Rhinolophus ferrumequinum: one gene and its partner. The protein of the gene in region 1 interacts with the protein of each later gene in a pairwise test. Links are inferred from orthologs where the notes say so. Each region holds a gene or a part of one and is shown in the gene's direction. Other genes may lie near its edges.

What was found. The genes of interacting proteins can lie anywhere in the genome.
Region 2: the proteins of SF1 (region 1) and DDX17 interact in binary tests that used the Homo sapiens proteins (3 or more experiments, as listed by UniProt). The link is inferred for Rhinolophus ferrumequinum from reciprocal best matches to the Homo sapiens genes SF1 and DDX17.

What each region holds. Positions count from the first base shown.
Region 1 is NC_046294.1:6,767,290-6,775,234, forward strand, and holds the start of SF1 (splicing factor 1), read left to right. Parts: upstream 1-4,873; 5' UTR 4,874-5,262; coding exon 5,263-5,632; intron 5,633-6,919; coding exon 6,920-7,048; intron 7,049-7,945. UniProt on the Homo sapiens protein: Necessary for the ATP-dependent first step of spliceosome assembly. Binds to the intron branch point sequence (BPS) 5'-UACUAAC-3' of the pre-mRNA. May act as transcription repressor.
Region 2 is NC_046293.1:8,627,533-8,635,355, forward strand, and holds the start of DDX17 (probable ATP-dependent RNA helicase DDX17), read left to right. Parts: upstream 1-4,785; 5' UTR 4,786-5,099; coding exon 5,100-5,149; intron 5,150-7,823. UniProt on the Homo sapiens protein: As an RNA helicase, unwinds RNA and alters RNA structures through ATP binding and hydrolysis.

The sequences.
Region 1 (7,945 bases):
TGCAAAATAGGTACTATGAAACGTCTCCCACTCAGGTCCCAGTTACTTCTGAAGCCTTCTGAAGTGTTTATGCATATGTAGCGGTCCTGTATGTTTCATTCTTCCCTCTTTATACCATGGTCTAACATAATCACACGCACTTTGCATCTTGGTCTTTAAAATCTACCCTGGAGAGCTTTCCATGATCAGTACCTCCCCCTTTGTTGTTTTATAGTCAGTGGTATTCCATTGTATGTATTTCCCATAACGTTAATTTACTGTCATTAGATCCCGATTGATGAAATTTTATGTTGTTTCTATTACTTTGATATTACAAATGACACTGCAATAAATATTCTTATGCCAATGCCCCTCTATATATTCAGGTGTCCTCTAGGGCCAATTCCTGGAGTGGCATTGCTGTGTCAGAGGGGGCCCTGTGTGTCCTTGTGATAGCTACTGTCAAATTGCCCTCCCTGGGCGGAAGCTTCCGGGATGGGTCATATCAGCTTCTCTCGGCCATCCTGTGGGTGAGTGGAAGAGGCGTGGGCACCTCAGGGTGTTTGGGGAGCTGGCCCATACACCAGTTAAGTGAGGGTCAAAAGGAGAACCACCACGAGAATGTGGCCATGTTCACTGGCATGTCCAGCAGTGGGACACTGCTTGCTGCACAGCAGGCCCTTGGGCTTGCTTTCCGAGGGAAGGAATGAGCGTGGTGTGGTGAAGAGGAGGCCCTGGGGTCAGGCCCCTGGACTGGGCGAGCTTGCTGAGCTGCATTTTCCCAGGTACATATCCTAAGTCTGCCTGCAGGGCTGTTGGGAGGATTGAAAATAATGGTAATATACAAAATGCAACAACACAGATGCATCTTGGGTAATGCCAAATTAAAACAGCAAGTTACATAAAATTACACACAGTATGATAGCAAGTCTAAACCACTTCTAGTTGGTGATAGATGCACATGTGAAAAAACTCCATTAGATCAGAAGCAGCACAAAATTCAAAATGATGGTCCCTGGGGGGAGAATGAGAGTGGGGTAACACAGGACCCCAGGAATTTGCAGAGGTATTGGTAATATCTTGGTTGTCAGGCTGGGTGGTAGGTTCACAGGTGTTCAATTAATAATTCAATTCCTAACTCACATAAGGTACACACATCCTTTTGTTTGTATCAAATACTATGTAATAAAACATTTAAGTTTAAATATTTTAAAGTAATCACTCAAAAATGAAAGCTCGATAATGGCTTAAAAAAAAAAAAGCAAAAAAATATAATGCCAAGATAATCCTTTCCTAGATAGTGAAATCAGTATTCTGTGTAGAACTGTGGGCAGATCCCTTTCCCAGTAGTTGCTTTCTTCTATAGTTTCTTTTTAAAAACAGCTTCATCAAGGTATAATCAGCATATAATAAACTGCATATATTAAAAATGTACTATTAAAAATATACTGACACATACACCTGTGAAACCATTACCACAATCAAGATAGCAAACATCTCTGACATCCCCAAAAGCTTCTTCTGCTCTTTGTAATCACACCCTCCAGCTTCTCCTCACCTCCCCATCCCCACGTAACCATTGATCCGCTTTGTGTCACCATAGATGCATTTGCATTTTTCAGAATTTACATAAATAAAATCATACAATATGTCCTCTGTTCTTGTCTGGCTTCTTTCACTGAGCACCATTATTGAGATTCATTCATGTTGTTGCATGTAACAGTCATTCCTTTTTTATTGCCAAGTAGTATTCTCCTGTGTGTATGTACCACAGTGTTTAGCTAGTCACCTGTTGAACATGTGGGCTGTTTCCAGTTTTGGACTATTATAAATAAAGCTATAAACATTTGTGTACCTGTCTGTGTGGCTGTATACTTTCACTTCTCTCAGTAAATACTATGGACAAAAAAGGGGCTTGGTAACAAACCTGATCACAGGGTGATCTGATCATAAATTCCTAACTGGGAAGATCACAGTGGGTAGTCATATAACTTCTTTACTAAAAGGTTTTTCTCTGCCTTAAGCCAGCCCTGTCCATCATTCTTGTGCATCGAGGTTAACACATCTTTGAAATGCCTCTTTTCCAGACCCCTCAGAGGTGTAATCACCCTCAAGAGAGCACATAATCTTAACAACGCCCGCTTTGCTTTCTCCCACCTTCACGTACTCTTCCTTACCTTTCTTCCTTAATTCCCAATGTATAAAAGAAACTGCAAAACTGTCATTCTCCAGAGCATTTTCTCAGTCTGTTGAGATCTTGCTTCCTGGTGTCGATGTAAGAATGTCCAAACCTGGGGCAGCCAAATTGCTCGGTTGGTTAGAGCATGAGCTCTGAAAAGGGTTACCAGTTCAATTCCTACATGGGCCAGTGATCTGTGCCCTCCACAATTAGATTGAAGAAACTGAGCTGCCTCTGAGCTGCCGGAGGCGGGACCAGATGGCTTGGTTGAGCGTGAGCTTGCAGTTCAATTCCCCCAATGGGATGGTGGGGATGGCTACGCCCCCTGCAACTAAGATTGAAAACAGCGACTGGACTTGGAGCTGAGCAGCGCCCTCCACAACTAGATTGAAGGACAATGACTTGGAGCAGATGGGCCCTGGAGAAACACAGTTTCCCAATATTCCCCAATGGAAAAAAACAATGTCCAAACCTGCAGAGAATTTCTGAGTTTATTTGAGCCAACTGACAACATGCCAGGAAGCAAGATTTCAAATGCTCCATATATATGTTACATATGTTACATATAATACATGTTTTATATATATGTTATACTGCACCCTTGTATAAAATCAGGAGGCATCTGATTTTAAGCCCTGAGTGATTTTCTGGAAGGCAGAAACTGAGTTTCTCAGCTCCTCGGTAAAATTTGTTGTATTTACTAAATAAATTAATTTTTCCTTCAAAGTATGATTTAAACGTTATATTTTTGCTTTCCTGTCCACAATATTAGCTTTGTATTTTATTATATAAATACTTGTTCAGTATAATTAGAATAATATACAGAAATAACAGGAAAAAAGGAAAAATTACCTGAGATCCCACCACCACTGGAAATTTGGTGATTGTCCTGTAAATGCATTTCCTTATATGTTATGTAAATAGGATCATGTCATACATTTTTAAAAAGTATGAAGCACATTTTAAAAATACACTAGGTTCTTAAAATGTTTCAGATTAACTTCCAGGTACCCTTTTCCCTCTCCATTGTCTTCACTGATAACGTGTGCTGTGTATCCTACCATAGCTTTGTCTGTACTCATATAATCATTGCAAACATGCACACGCATATATATGGGGTTTGTTTGTTTTACCAAAACAAGATCATATAATGCGTATTTGCTTTTTTTCCCTCATTTAAGAATAAATACAGCACATTAGTCCCTGTAGGTCAGTTGGTATAAACTAACTGCTTTTCAAGGCTGCCTAATTCCAGGTTATGGATATTACAGTTTGTTCAACCATTCACATATGGATGGAAACTGATTCCAGGTTTTTGCCATGAGAATATATTACATTATATAATCACAGGCCTTACTTTGGGGCAGATTCCCACGAGAGGGATTGCTACATTGAAAGGGTTATTATTTTTCCTGAAAGGGGTACAATTTTAATAGACAACAGAATGCTTTCCAAAAAAGAACTTCACAGTAGTAGGTGTCAGCACATTTGTCTTTAGCTCTTTTAATGGTTATATAAAGAGTTTGCTCATTATCACCTTAATTTGCATTTCCCTGCTAAGGGGGTTGGTATCCTTTCATGTTTTTGGCTATTTGTTCTTGCTTTTCTAAGACTTCCCTATTCAGTCTTTGCTCGTTACCTATTGATTTTGTCTTTTTAAAATTAGTTTTGAAGACCTTTCATATTAAAGATATTAACTCTATCACGTGTGGCAATTATATTTTTCTGACATTTTCTTTTGAATTTTATCACTTTGAATTTCTTTGGTAATCAAGTATATCTTCTCTTTATAGTTCGAGTTGCCTGTCTTCATAAACTCTACCCCTAGATTACGCCTCATAAATTGTATTGTCTGTTTTATGGTTTAGATTCAAGATTCCATACCATTAGCTAAAACTTACGGAACTGAAACCACCTTTGTGGTATTCTTACCAGTATATTGGTAATCTATATCCAGACTTTATTCTGTGCCACTTATCTGTCTTTCCTACATCATTCTTGTGTCTTTCATACTGTGTTACCTGGAAAGGCCAGCTCCTCCTCAATCTTGTTTACAAGTTTGCCCACTATTTTCAGTTATTTTATATGATTTTAAGATGACTTAATTAACCACCACCCCGCTGAGACTTTAATGGAATTGCATATGTGTAAACTAATTTTAGAATTGACTTTATGTTCTTTTCCACATAAAATTGTGTTGTTCCATCGGCTCAGGTGTTTTTAATCCTTCAATTAGACTATAGCTTTTTCCCCCCTTTTTATTTTTGTTCAAAGAAAACAGGAAGTCCTTTTTTACCTGCGGCGTCAACGGATCCGGTTTACGGGCACGCGCCGGCCCCACCCCTAGCCCGCGGTTCCGTGTTACCATGGGAATCGAGGATTGACGTCACTTTGGGCTTTCCGCTCCGGACCCAGTGAACAACCGTGAAGGTAGGGGCGGAGGCGGCTTTGACCCATCTACGCATGAGCGCTCCTACTCCACTCCTCCCCGCCGTAAATTTCGTACCGCCGTGGCTTTTCCGCAGCGACCTTTCGCTTACTCCCATCGAAACTGCTCCCCAGGGACGGGGAGTGGAAAAAGACTCGAACAAGAGACAGCCAATCCTATGACACTACGATGCAACCGAGTTTGACTGATTCCATCAACTGCAGCCAATGAGAGCGCTCTTGGCGCCTACGTCATAGTTTGCCCCACCCTAACCCCGCCTTTCTGGACTCCGAGCTCAGTTCGCGCAGTAACAAATGAAGTGCGCGCTGCGACACCTCCCAGCTCGCCAGGCTCGGCCGCCATTTCCTCGCCTGGCCTAACGGTCCGGCCAATCCCAGCGCGCATCGAGAAGGACTGAAGCTCCGCCAATTGGAGGCTGCCAATTCCGACCCTTTGCCTCGGCCCGGCCCAATCCAGGCTTCTGCCCCTTCGCCCCCGGCCCGCCCCCGCGGCGGCCTCTCTCCTCCCTCTTTGTGCGTCTCGCGCCGCCGCCGCCCGCCGCGTGAGAGGACGGGTTCCGCGCGCTAGCGCTGCGACTCCCTCCCCCCCTCCCCGAAAGATTCGCTAAGGAAAAGCCGCCGCCGAGGAGCCGCCGGTGCCGGTCCCCCGGGGCGCCATGGCGACCGGAGCAAACGCCACGCCGCTGGGTAAGCTGGGCCCCCCCCCCGGCCTTCCCTCCCTTCCCGGGCCCAAAGGGGGTTTCGAGCCGGGGTCACCGCCTGCCCCCAGACCTGGGGCGGAACTGCTGGTACCCAGGCCGCTACTTCCCCCGCCCGTAGGCTCGGTGGGGGCCCTGACCGCGGCCTTCCCGTTCGCGGCGCTGCCTCCGCCGCCGCCCCCCCCACCGCCGCCACCGCCCTCCCCGTGCTCCTCGTACCCGCCGCCGCAGCCGCCCTCTCCGCCGCCGCTCTACCAGCGCGTGTCGCCGCTGCCACCCCAGCCGCCGCGTCAGGACCAGCAGCCGGGCCCGGCCGGCGGCGGAGGAGGTGAGTCGGGCCGAGAGAGCGCGAGAGGCGTCGTGCGGACGGGCCCGGCCGGCGGAGGGGCGCGCGGCAGCGGTGACGGCGGCGGCTGCACGCGGCAGGGGCGCGCGCGCGCACGGGGAGGCCCTGGCGGAGGCGCTACAGGGCGCGCGGCCTGGTTTTCGGGCCTAGAGTGTTGCGCACGCGCTCTGGGAGAAGGGGGGGCGGATCAGGGCGGGAGGTTTGCTGTGCGCAGGCGCGGTGTGCGGCCCGACCAAACCTGGGGGGCCCGCTGTTGCTCTCTAGCCCCAGGTGTAGGGGAGAGGTGTGGAAGGGTTCGAGTAGGTGGACAGGGTGTTTGTTGGGTGTGCAGGTCAGGAGGGTGTGAAAGGGTCAAGTGATGACGTGGAACATCCTCTTCCTGGTGGTAGAGGAGTCTGAAAGAGAGAAAAGTACCCAAAATAGCTCGTCGATTTCGGCTGCAAAGCAGGGTTTTTCCACTACAGAGAACAAAAGAGGTTGAAAGTCTTCAGGGCCTAATGGGGTCCAATCTGTTGTGTCTGTTGAGGGAGCTTCTGTTTTTTGCCTGACTTTCCTTCATGTACCTTAGAGGATTCTGGTATACCTCCCCCTCGTTGGGGCTTCCACCTGGGACGCTGAACAACTTGTGTGTGTTAAATGTAGGGGATTTCTGCCTTTGTATTGAGGAAGGAGGTTTTGAGTGTTGTGTACTTTGTTCTTTGTTGAACGTTTGGTAGTCAAGACACTAAGTTCCCAAATAGCCAGGAAAATTGAATGCTGATCTTGACTAAACTTCGGAAGACAAAAGTGATCTTGTTGAAGAATCCAGCCCTAGGTTTAGTTGTGCTAAAGGTGACTGGTGGGGGTGTGGAGGTGGGAGGGGCCAGCAATCCTCCAATATAACTTGACAAATTTGTTTGGTTATTCATTCTATTCTTACCTTCCCTGGGGCTTTTAAAGCATTCGTGGGTGATGTAGTATTTATTTTGTCAATACTTTTATTTCTCTGTCTGAAATTTCATGCATTAAGATTTATTACCTTGTTTACATACTTCACAGAGTTTCTCTGAAATGTTAACTTTTCGGAACCAGGTCCAGGTCCCCTTGTAGTGGCCATATGTGTCTGATTTTTTTAGGTTGGTCTTGGTCTTCTGTTCTTCGCCACTTCCATTGTAGGTCAAGCTCTGTTTCCCAGTCTGCTGAGACTAATGTCACAAATATGCCAAATTGCCTGTTGATAGCTACTCTGCTGGTTTTTGTTTGCATCTGATGGAGTTTATCTGCCTTCAGACTTCCCAAGTAAGAAGCGGAAGAGGAGCCGGTGGAACCAAGACACAATGGAACAGAAGACCGTGATTCCAGGAATGCCTACAGTTATCCCCCCTGGACTTACTCGGGAACAAGAAAGAGCTTATATAGGTAAATACACGTTCTGCACCCAAGTGCAATTTCAGATCGTTACTATTGTGAGCAACATTTTATCTGTGGAAAGTTGGAGGCTTTAAAGTTTTCTTTTTTGAGATGAGATATGGTCAGGTATGCTTTCACGATTTTGACATAATTTTTCAGTTTTTGCTCTGTGAGTCCTGCATTTGCAGCTCCTTGTTTTGGTCTATGTATAACAGCAGTGTTCTCCATGAGTTCCAGGAAAGTAGAGGGGCCCACTTAGGAGTGAGAATAGTCCCCAGTTCAGCACCCCACCCCACTCTTTTCAGCTGCTGTTCATTGCCAGTTGATGAGGTGAGTGTCTCCTGCTTCTCTGCACACGACCCCAATGGAGAACACTGCAAGTGTTGCATAACCAAGTACCTTCTTCAGAGCGTGGCCTTGCACCATAATTTCATATTCCTCCTTTCCCCTAAAATGTGGTCTTTTACTTTTTATAGGTGCTTTCTGAAAGGAAAAAAACTCACTTTAATCAAAAAGTGGTTCTGGAAGTGTTTACAGTGCACCCCCTTCTTACCATTTCGTTGAGTTTTAACCTTTCCTTCAGCATCTTGCCTGGTTTGGTCTTTGGAGAGCTGTCTTAAAATGAGGGCTCTTATATTTACTACGAAAGAATTCAAAGAATTCTGCTGGGAAAGGGATATTGCTTGGATACGGAATAAGTTACTAGGATAAAAGATCTCAACTGTTGGGAAATTTTAAGAATTAAGAATGACTGTCCACAGTGGAAATGAAATTAACCTTAAAATTTCCTTTTTTAAAATACAAGGTTATTAATACAAGTTTTACTTTTATTTATGTACTTGTGCGGCTGTCTCAAAAAAGTTCACTTGATATATATTTTCTTACTAACCAAATAAACATCCCCTT
Region 2 (7,823 bases), on another chromosome or scaffold:
TTTAATGTATCTGTCGGTAGAAATTCCACATGGTCCTCCTTCCTGTTTGTTGAAAGCAAAGAGCTGGAATTCTCCTAATTTGCAAATGGACATGTTACCAAGGCATTAGGATCATTTACTTTTTTCAAGTCACCAATGTCAGCATTTCTAACTATCCCCGTATTGGGATCTCTGAGATTTTTACTTCCATGGCAAAGTCCGTAGTAAAATTTTGGGTAGAAGAGAAATATTCTTTCATTTATAAAGTGAGAGGGTGCAATTTTAAGCAAATTTCGCAGTCATCTCAATTTTAGAAAGGAGTATATATGAAAGTTCAAGTTCTGGAAATAGATTTCCTGAAAAGTCTCTGCTCCTATGTGTCCCTTGTGTACCACAGTTAAAGGCCACTGCTTCAAGTTACCTTGTTGACTTAAGTACCTCAGGACTCTCAATCTCTTGTATCTAAAGTACAATAAACCAAGCTATCAAAGAACCAAGCTGAGTCCTACCAAGATAGAAGGCAGAGGCATTATGTTTCACATTAGGTGAGTTTAACGACGATGACATTGCAAAGTTGTGACAATGGGACAAGAGAAGGTATGTGTAGAACTTATTATAGTACACGTGGTTTACAGTAAAAGTAGCTTAAAAACAAAGAACTACAGTTTTAAAACTTTAAACAAATGGAAAAATTCTCTTAGTGGTTGGAAATCGAGTCGAGTATAAATTGTACTGCTATAATAACAATAAAACACAGATAAAACGAAAAATGGCAATGGTATTGTTGGCAGGTGGAGTCTGCAGAAAGGAAACCACATCTGCAGGAAAACTGGACAATGGAAAGAGAATGATATTGACCCTGTGATCCCACAGGGAGGTAGCATAGCATAGTGGTCCCAGAGTAGTGGCTGTCAACTGGGGTGGTTCTCAGTGCCCCCTGGGAGACATTGGGCAATGTCTGGAAACATTTTATTGTCACAACTTGGAGGAGGAGGGAGATTCTACTGGCATCTAGTGGGTGGAGTCCAGGAATGCTGCTAAACATCTGCAATGCATAGGATAACCCCCCACAATAAATATCCGGCCCTAAATAGTGCCAAGTCAAAACCTTGCCAGAGCACCTAGGTTTGAGTCCAGCCTATGCTAATTGCTGTGTGATCCTGGGTTAGCACTTAATCTGAGCCTCACATTGTTTTTTAATAAATTTTATTGGGGAATATTGGGGAACAGTGTGTTTCTCCAGGGCCCATCAGCTCTGAGTCGTTGTCCTTCAACCTAGTTGTGGAGGGCGCAGCTCACTGGCCCATGTGGGAATCAAACCAGCAACCCTGTTGTTCAGAGCTCACGCTCTAAACAACTGAGCCATCCAGCCGCCCCAAGCCTCAGCTTTCTTATCTGTAAAGTGGAGAGATGATAACTAACCACTAACATATGTTGAGTGTTATGTGCCAGGCACCCCTCTGAGTGGGGTTTCATTTGCTCCTTCCAAAATCCCTATGAGGTACTGTTATCTCGTTTACAGATGAGAATAAAATAAAAGCTCATAGCACGTGTCTCTCATAGTGAACATGAGAGCACTCAATAGTTTTCAGTCCTTAGGTATTTCTTTTTAAATATTATTTTTTCAGAGCAGTTTTAGGTTTACAGCAAAATTGGGTGGAAAATACAGAGTTTCCCTGTATTCCCTGCCTCTACATACATATAGCTTCCCCCACTATCAACATCCTGTTTCAGTCAATGAAACTACATTGACACATAATCACCCCAAGTCCATAGTTTACATTAGGGTTCACTCTTGGTGGTGTACATTCTATGGGTTTGGACAAATGTGTAATGACATGTACCTACCATTATGGTACCATACAGAATAGTCTCGCTGCCCTTAAAGTCCTCTCTGCTTCACCTGTTCATCCTGTCCTTCGTCCATCCCCTAGCAATCACCGATCTTTATACCATCTCCATAGTTTTGCCTTTTCCAGAATGTCATATACTTGGAATTTTACAACATGTAGCCTTTTCAGATTGGTTTCTTTCACTTAGTCATATGCATTTAAGTTTCCTCCAGGTCTTTTCATGGCTTGATAGCTCATTTCTTTTTCACACTAAAATTTCATTGCCTGAATGTACCACAATTTATCCGTTTACCTACTGAAGGACATCTTGGTTGCTTCCAAGTTTTGGCAATTATAGTAAAACTGCTATAAATATCTTTGTGCAGGTTTTTGTGTGGACATAAATTTTCACATCTTTTGGTAAATACCAAAGAATGTGATTGCTGGATCATATGATATGGTAAGGTATGGTTAGGTTTTCAAAAAAAGGATGAATTGAGCAAAGCACATTTTCATTTTTACCAAGTCTTAGCTGTTACTAATGAAATGTCTCAGTTCTCTGGCTGCCCTATTTAATGAAAATCTCCCTCTATGTTTAGAAAAATGTAATAAGTTTCAACCATCTTTGGTAGGAAAACACAGAGATACAGCAAATAATGAGAAATGCATACTATGGATTCACTTTATATTCAGAAACTTGACTGCCAGAGGAAGACTGTAAGTTCACTTTTTTTTTGGAGGGCAAAAAAATAATGACATAAATATATAGTTATGTACTATGAGAAGCTTTCTGAAGATAAAGGAGTTATGAGATGCTATAAAACAGGGACCTGATCTAGTAGCAATATATGAATTATTTTCCCCTGCAAAATTTAGGGGGGTTTTCGATGGACCTAATTTACTTTATATAAGTTATTTATTATTATATAGAGAGCCTCAGATTTAATTACTTAGCATATAGGATAGACAAACCAGTCCAAATAACTCTCTCAGTGCTATACAGTCTAAATCCCAGTAGGAGCTTAATTGTTGGCCAATTCCTACAAGAGTCATCCTTGACTCTTCTTTCTTTCGTGCTCCACCCATCATTAAATCAGTAGCTTGATTTTCAGTCAGGCCATTTCTCCCTTACTGGTTGCTATTAACCCATGCCAAGCCCCATCATCCCTTGCTGGATTATTGCACTAACCTAATTAATCTGCCTGCTTCTGTCCTAGCTCACTCTCAATTTATTCCCCGTACTGCAGCCATAGGGGTCCATTTATTATGTCACCCTGCTTAAAACCTTCTAGACATATCCAATTTACTGAAAGGAAAAAACGAAGTCCTTACCGCAGCCAACAAGCCCTTTAAGATCTGGCCCTCTCTTTCCTCCTTGCGCTACTCCAGCCACATTCTGCCTCAGGGCCTTTGCACTTGCTCATTTCTGTATGTCAGCAAGGCTAGCTCCCTCCCTTGAGGTCTCTGCTCAGATGTCACTTGATCAGGGAGGCACGGGTATACACTCCCTCCTACAGACACACATACCTCTATCCCTTTTCCCCCCCGCTTCATTTTTTTTCTTTTTATTTTAGTTAGCAACCCTGACATAAACATTTATTGTCTGTCTTCCCCACTAGAGTGTGAACTCCAGGAGTGTAGTAACTCATTTGTTCACTGCTGTGCACCAGTTCCTAGCACAGTGCTTGGGCCTATTAGGCATTCAACACTTGTTCAATTAATCTGATTACTCATCGGCATTTGTGGCCCAAGAGACATCTGAACAGCTTGTCACGAAGATCCTTTCCTTATGCTACTTTTGTAATAATTTGGGAAACACTCAGAGCACAGAGTAGGAGACACCAGTCAGCCCCTACCATAAGGGACCTCAAATCTCCCCCACTTATACCCATATGTAGAAATAAATAAGACATGGTTAAACAGCTGCTCTTCTGAGGCCCTAACAGCTCAGCTCAACGATTCCGTGACGCTGTCAGGCCAAGCTTCTGAGACTTTAAAGTGTAGTTTGAGGGAGAAGGAAGCAGGCAGGGAGAGGGAAGCCAGATTAGAAGGAATTAAGGACACGGCCTAGGCTGGTTACAAACATGACTTATGCCTTCACCTTTTCTGTGTCTGCAGACCACCGCTTTTAAACCGTTCTGTTCCTCTCGGGAGAGCGCTAAGGGGCTGCCATGGGCCTCATGAGGCAGCGCCCGCTTAAGGGCGGTCAAGGGATCTCAGCGTCTACCTTAAGGGCTCCACCCACATTTTGGTTCTTTGTTAGCCAGCTGTGCTCAGCAGGGGACAGTGTAAATATTGTTGAGAACGTGCACTTTAGTGTGACTAAGTGTAGCAGAGTGCTTTAACCCAGGTGAGACGTCGCCACCTGACCAAAACCCGAAAGAAGGGACAAGGAACATCTATCATGGCTGCCGGCGCCGGCACAGCGAGAAGCAACCGAAAAGAAATGGCGCCGGGGCGCGCGGCCAGTCTAGGGGCCCAGGGCGGCGGGGCCAGAGCGCCCGCCAGGGACCTTAAAGACCCTCCTGGGCGTTTGGCACCTGGAGACCCTGAAACTTGACTGCAGAATGAAGGACAGTTATTGTCTGGGCAAAGCAACTTGCACAAGAAGACCGGGTTCCGTCCCGCGGTCGAACCCGGCAAAATCCTCTATTCTCCAAACAGAAGGCGTTACGCACACTGCGCATCTTCGCAACAGTGGGTCAGCTAACGACGCAAAGAATGTTACGTCGCGCCGGAGGCTCACCACCCCCCACCCCCACCCCACGTTCTAGTTTAGGCGACGCGAGAACTACGCCCGATCCGTACTTTGTTTTTCTTCTACCAACCGCAAAATGCGTCCATCTCCGCAACTGACGAAAAATGCTTCCAAGAATACCCGTAGTACTCCGCAAAGCCCTCCGGCGACTCCGACACGCTGTTTACGTATGGGCTCCGACGTACGTAGCGTTAAGCTGGAGCAGTCTCAGCTCCGGCCGCCATTTTGTGCAGTCGCTGGGAAGGAAGGAGACGCCTAAACCGCGGCACTGCCGGGTTTGAGCGTAGCCAAACCTGCCCACTGATTTTATAACCCCGATTCTCTGTGTTTTGCTCCCGTCTCCGACGAGAGAGGCGGCGACGGTGGCGTCTGCGACGGGAGACAGCGCGTCGGAGCGAGAGAGCGCCGCGCCTGCCGCCGCCCCAACAGCGGAGGCGCCGCCGCCATCGGTCGTCACCAGACCGGAGCCGCAGGCCCTCCCGAGCCCGGCCATCCGTGCCCCGCTCCCAGATCTCTATCCATTTGGGACCATGCGCGGAGGCGGCTTTGGGGACCGGGACCGGGATCGTGACCGTGGAGGGTAAGGGAGGAGGGGGAGAGGAGAGGCCTTGTGTGTGCATGGGGGTGGGGGGGCTGCTTCAAGAGGAGACCGCCGCCTGCGGGAGAGCGGGAGACTTGGAGCAGAACGCAGGCCTGCGAACAACGCTCCCGACTCGGGGAGGCGAGGCGACCCGGGACATAATAGCGATTTAGAGCACAGGCCTTTGGGTGGGCCTGGGCCCCGAAGTCACTGATGACCTGGCAGGGGGGTGGTAGCTTGGCGACGCCCCAACTCCTCCTTGCGGACGGCGGTCGTAGCGCCGCACGGCCCCAGCCTCGCGGGGAGCGGGAGCGGGAGGGGGATGGCCCGGCCATCGCAGACCCCATCCGGGCCTCGCCTCGCCTCGCTTGGCGACTCTTGGAGCCTGGCGGATTTGAGCAACTCACTTGATGTCTCCGGGCTTCAGCGTTTATCTGTGAAACACGGGTGTTTTTGTTGAGAAGAGGATGGAGGTCTCTGAGTTCAGTCTAGGAAAAGCTTAACGCGAAATGGCTTCCCTTATGTTATCTATAGCCAGAGATCACTGTTAGTCTCCAGTTTCTGAAACTGGAGACTAATTAAAAGTCTGGGTTTTAGTTTTAAAAACGTTTTCAAATTCCTTCAGTCGTATTTAAATGGAAGGACGCACATTGGAACATAAAGCAATGGAATTACCATCCAAATGGCTGTATTTGGGGAGGGAGGGTTTTGGGGTTTTTTCCAAGTTTCGGTCTTATTTTTATTTTCTCTATAAGCGGACTGGAGCGTTAACTTCTCGGCCTATCTAGAAAGTTTTTGATGCAGTTAGGCCATGGTTAACAGGGTTGGCAATTGACAGCATTAAAACAAGTTCTCCCACATACTGAGATTCAAATCTTAATGTCGGTTAAACTAATAAGTTGCTTATGATACAGATCCATGTCGATTTGTGCTGTTAACTTTTTGTAATAAAAGTTTTATCTCTTGGATGAAAAGTAATGTGACGCCACTTCTTAATGTGTGTGTGACCTTGGGCAAAATCCTAAACTGTTGTGAGTCTATTTTCTCATCTGAAAATGGGGATAATAATTGTCTGTATTTTGTATTGTTCTCGGGAATTTGAGAGAATGCATGTAATTGTCTCTGTACTAGGTGTTGTTAATATTTTCTCCAAACATTTCCAAATATTTTCTTTTGTTCAGGTATACAAGTATCAGATCTACTAGTCACAAGCACCTCAATTATCACTTAATTTACAAAATAAAAAAATTATTTTGATTTATACCTTGGTAGGAAGGAAAATGTTTTATCTTGGTGTTAAGTTTGGAGGACTAGAAGTGGAATGTTTGCTTAGTGTTTCACAGTATAGCCAAATTTAGAAGTGAATTTCAATACAACTGCTTAGGGAAAAGAAATTAAGGTTATCTAGTAAAGTCAAAAATGACCCAGTAATTCTTCTCTGAAACTTTATGCCCTAGACTCTAAGGCCTAGAGAAACTCTTGGACTTGTGCCCCCGCATTCATATACAGAGATGTTTATACCAGCATCGTTCATGACAGTATTGGAAACAACCCAAATGTCTGGATAAATTATGGATATTCATATAGTAGAATGCAGTACAACAGTGAAAAAAAAAAGCTTGCATCAACATGGATGACTCACAATATTGAATGAAAAAGCAAATTGTGGTGGGGTAATGCATATAAGGATACCTACAAATGTGACAAAATTATAAATAAAGCATGGGAATGGTTCAAGTTTGAGGTAGTTATAGTGGGGGTTGTAAACATGAGGTATGTAGAGGCCACTAAGATACTAATAATTTATTTCTTTAGCACAGGCGTTTGACTTAATATTCCATAGAATACATGCTTTAATAATAAAACTTTAAAGAGAGAAATAAGTGAATTTTATTGATTCATACTTAGTTTATCCCATATTGATTTTAGTACCAGATGACACTTTTTAAAAAGTTTTAAAAATTATTAAAATGACACCCTTGCATAAGGTCTGTGCCCTGACTCTACCTTTACTATGAAATTTACTTTGTTTTGAATTGCTATTGTTTTGTCCGTAACTGAATGTTACAGCTGAAATGGATTAATATCTTGAAAAGGCAATAAGTGAGATCAGTGTATGTACCGATAGTCCAAAAATGTACGTTGTTCATTTAAACTGGTTTGATTTTGCATGTTAATACATGAATCTTCAAAGCTGTGTTTATTGCAAAGCCAAATTAAACTTAATACTCAATAAAAATATTTTGATGGATAGCATAATATGCTAGGGATTAGGATTACACACATCTTTAAAGGATGGCACGAATGTGCTCAAAAATTCTAAGAGTAAAAGGCTCTCTTGAATATTGAAGTCAGCATATTTATAAAGAACCCCATGTTTCAAATTACATCTTTAGTGTAGGATAGTATGTCTTGGATAATCAGCCAAAGCAACATAGAGAAAGGAAAAAAATATTTTTTTAATTAAGGGCTACTTTGAATAAGTCTAAAAAGGAACCTTTGAAAAGTTCTGTTTTCTTCTAGATCGTTATTAAGGTCTGGGTAGCATTAGAATGCAGTAGCAGTGTTGAAATGGCACCTTCTAGGAACCACATTAATTGATACAAACTAGACAATCTCTAGAAATTGGTCTTTGGTCATTTTTATTTTCTTTGCAGGACTCTCTAGAGACTTG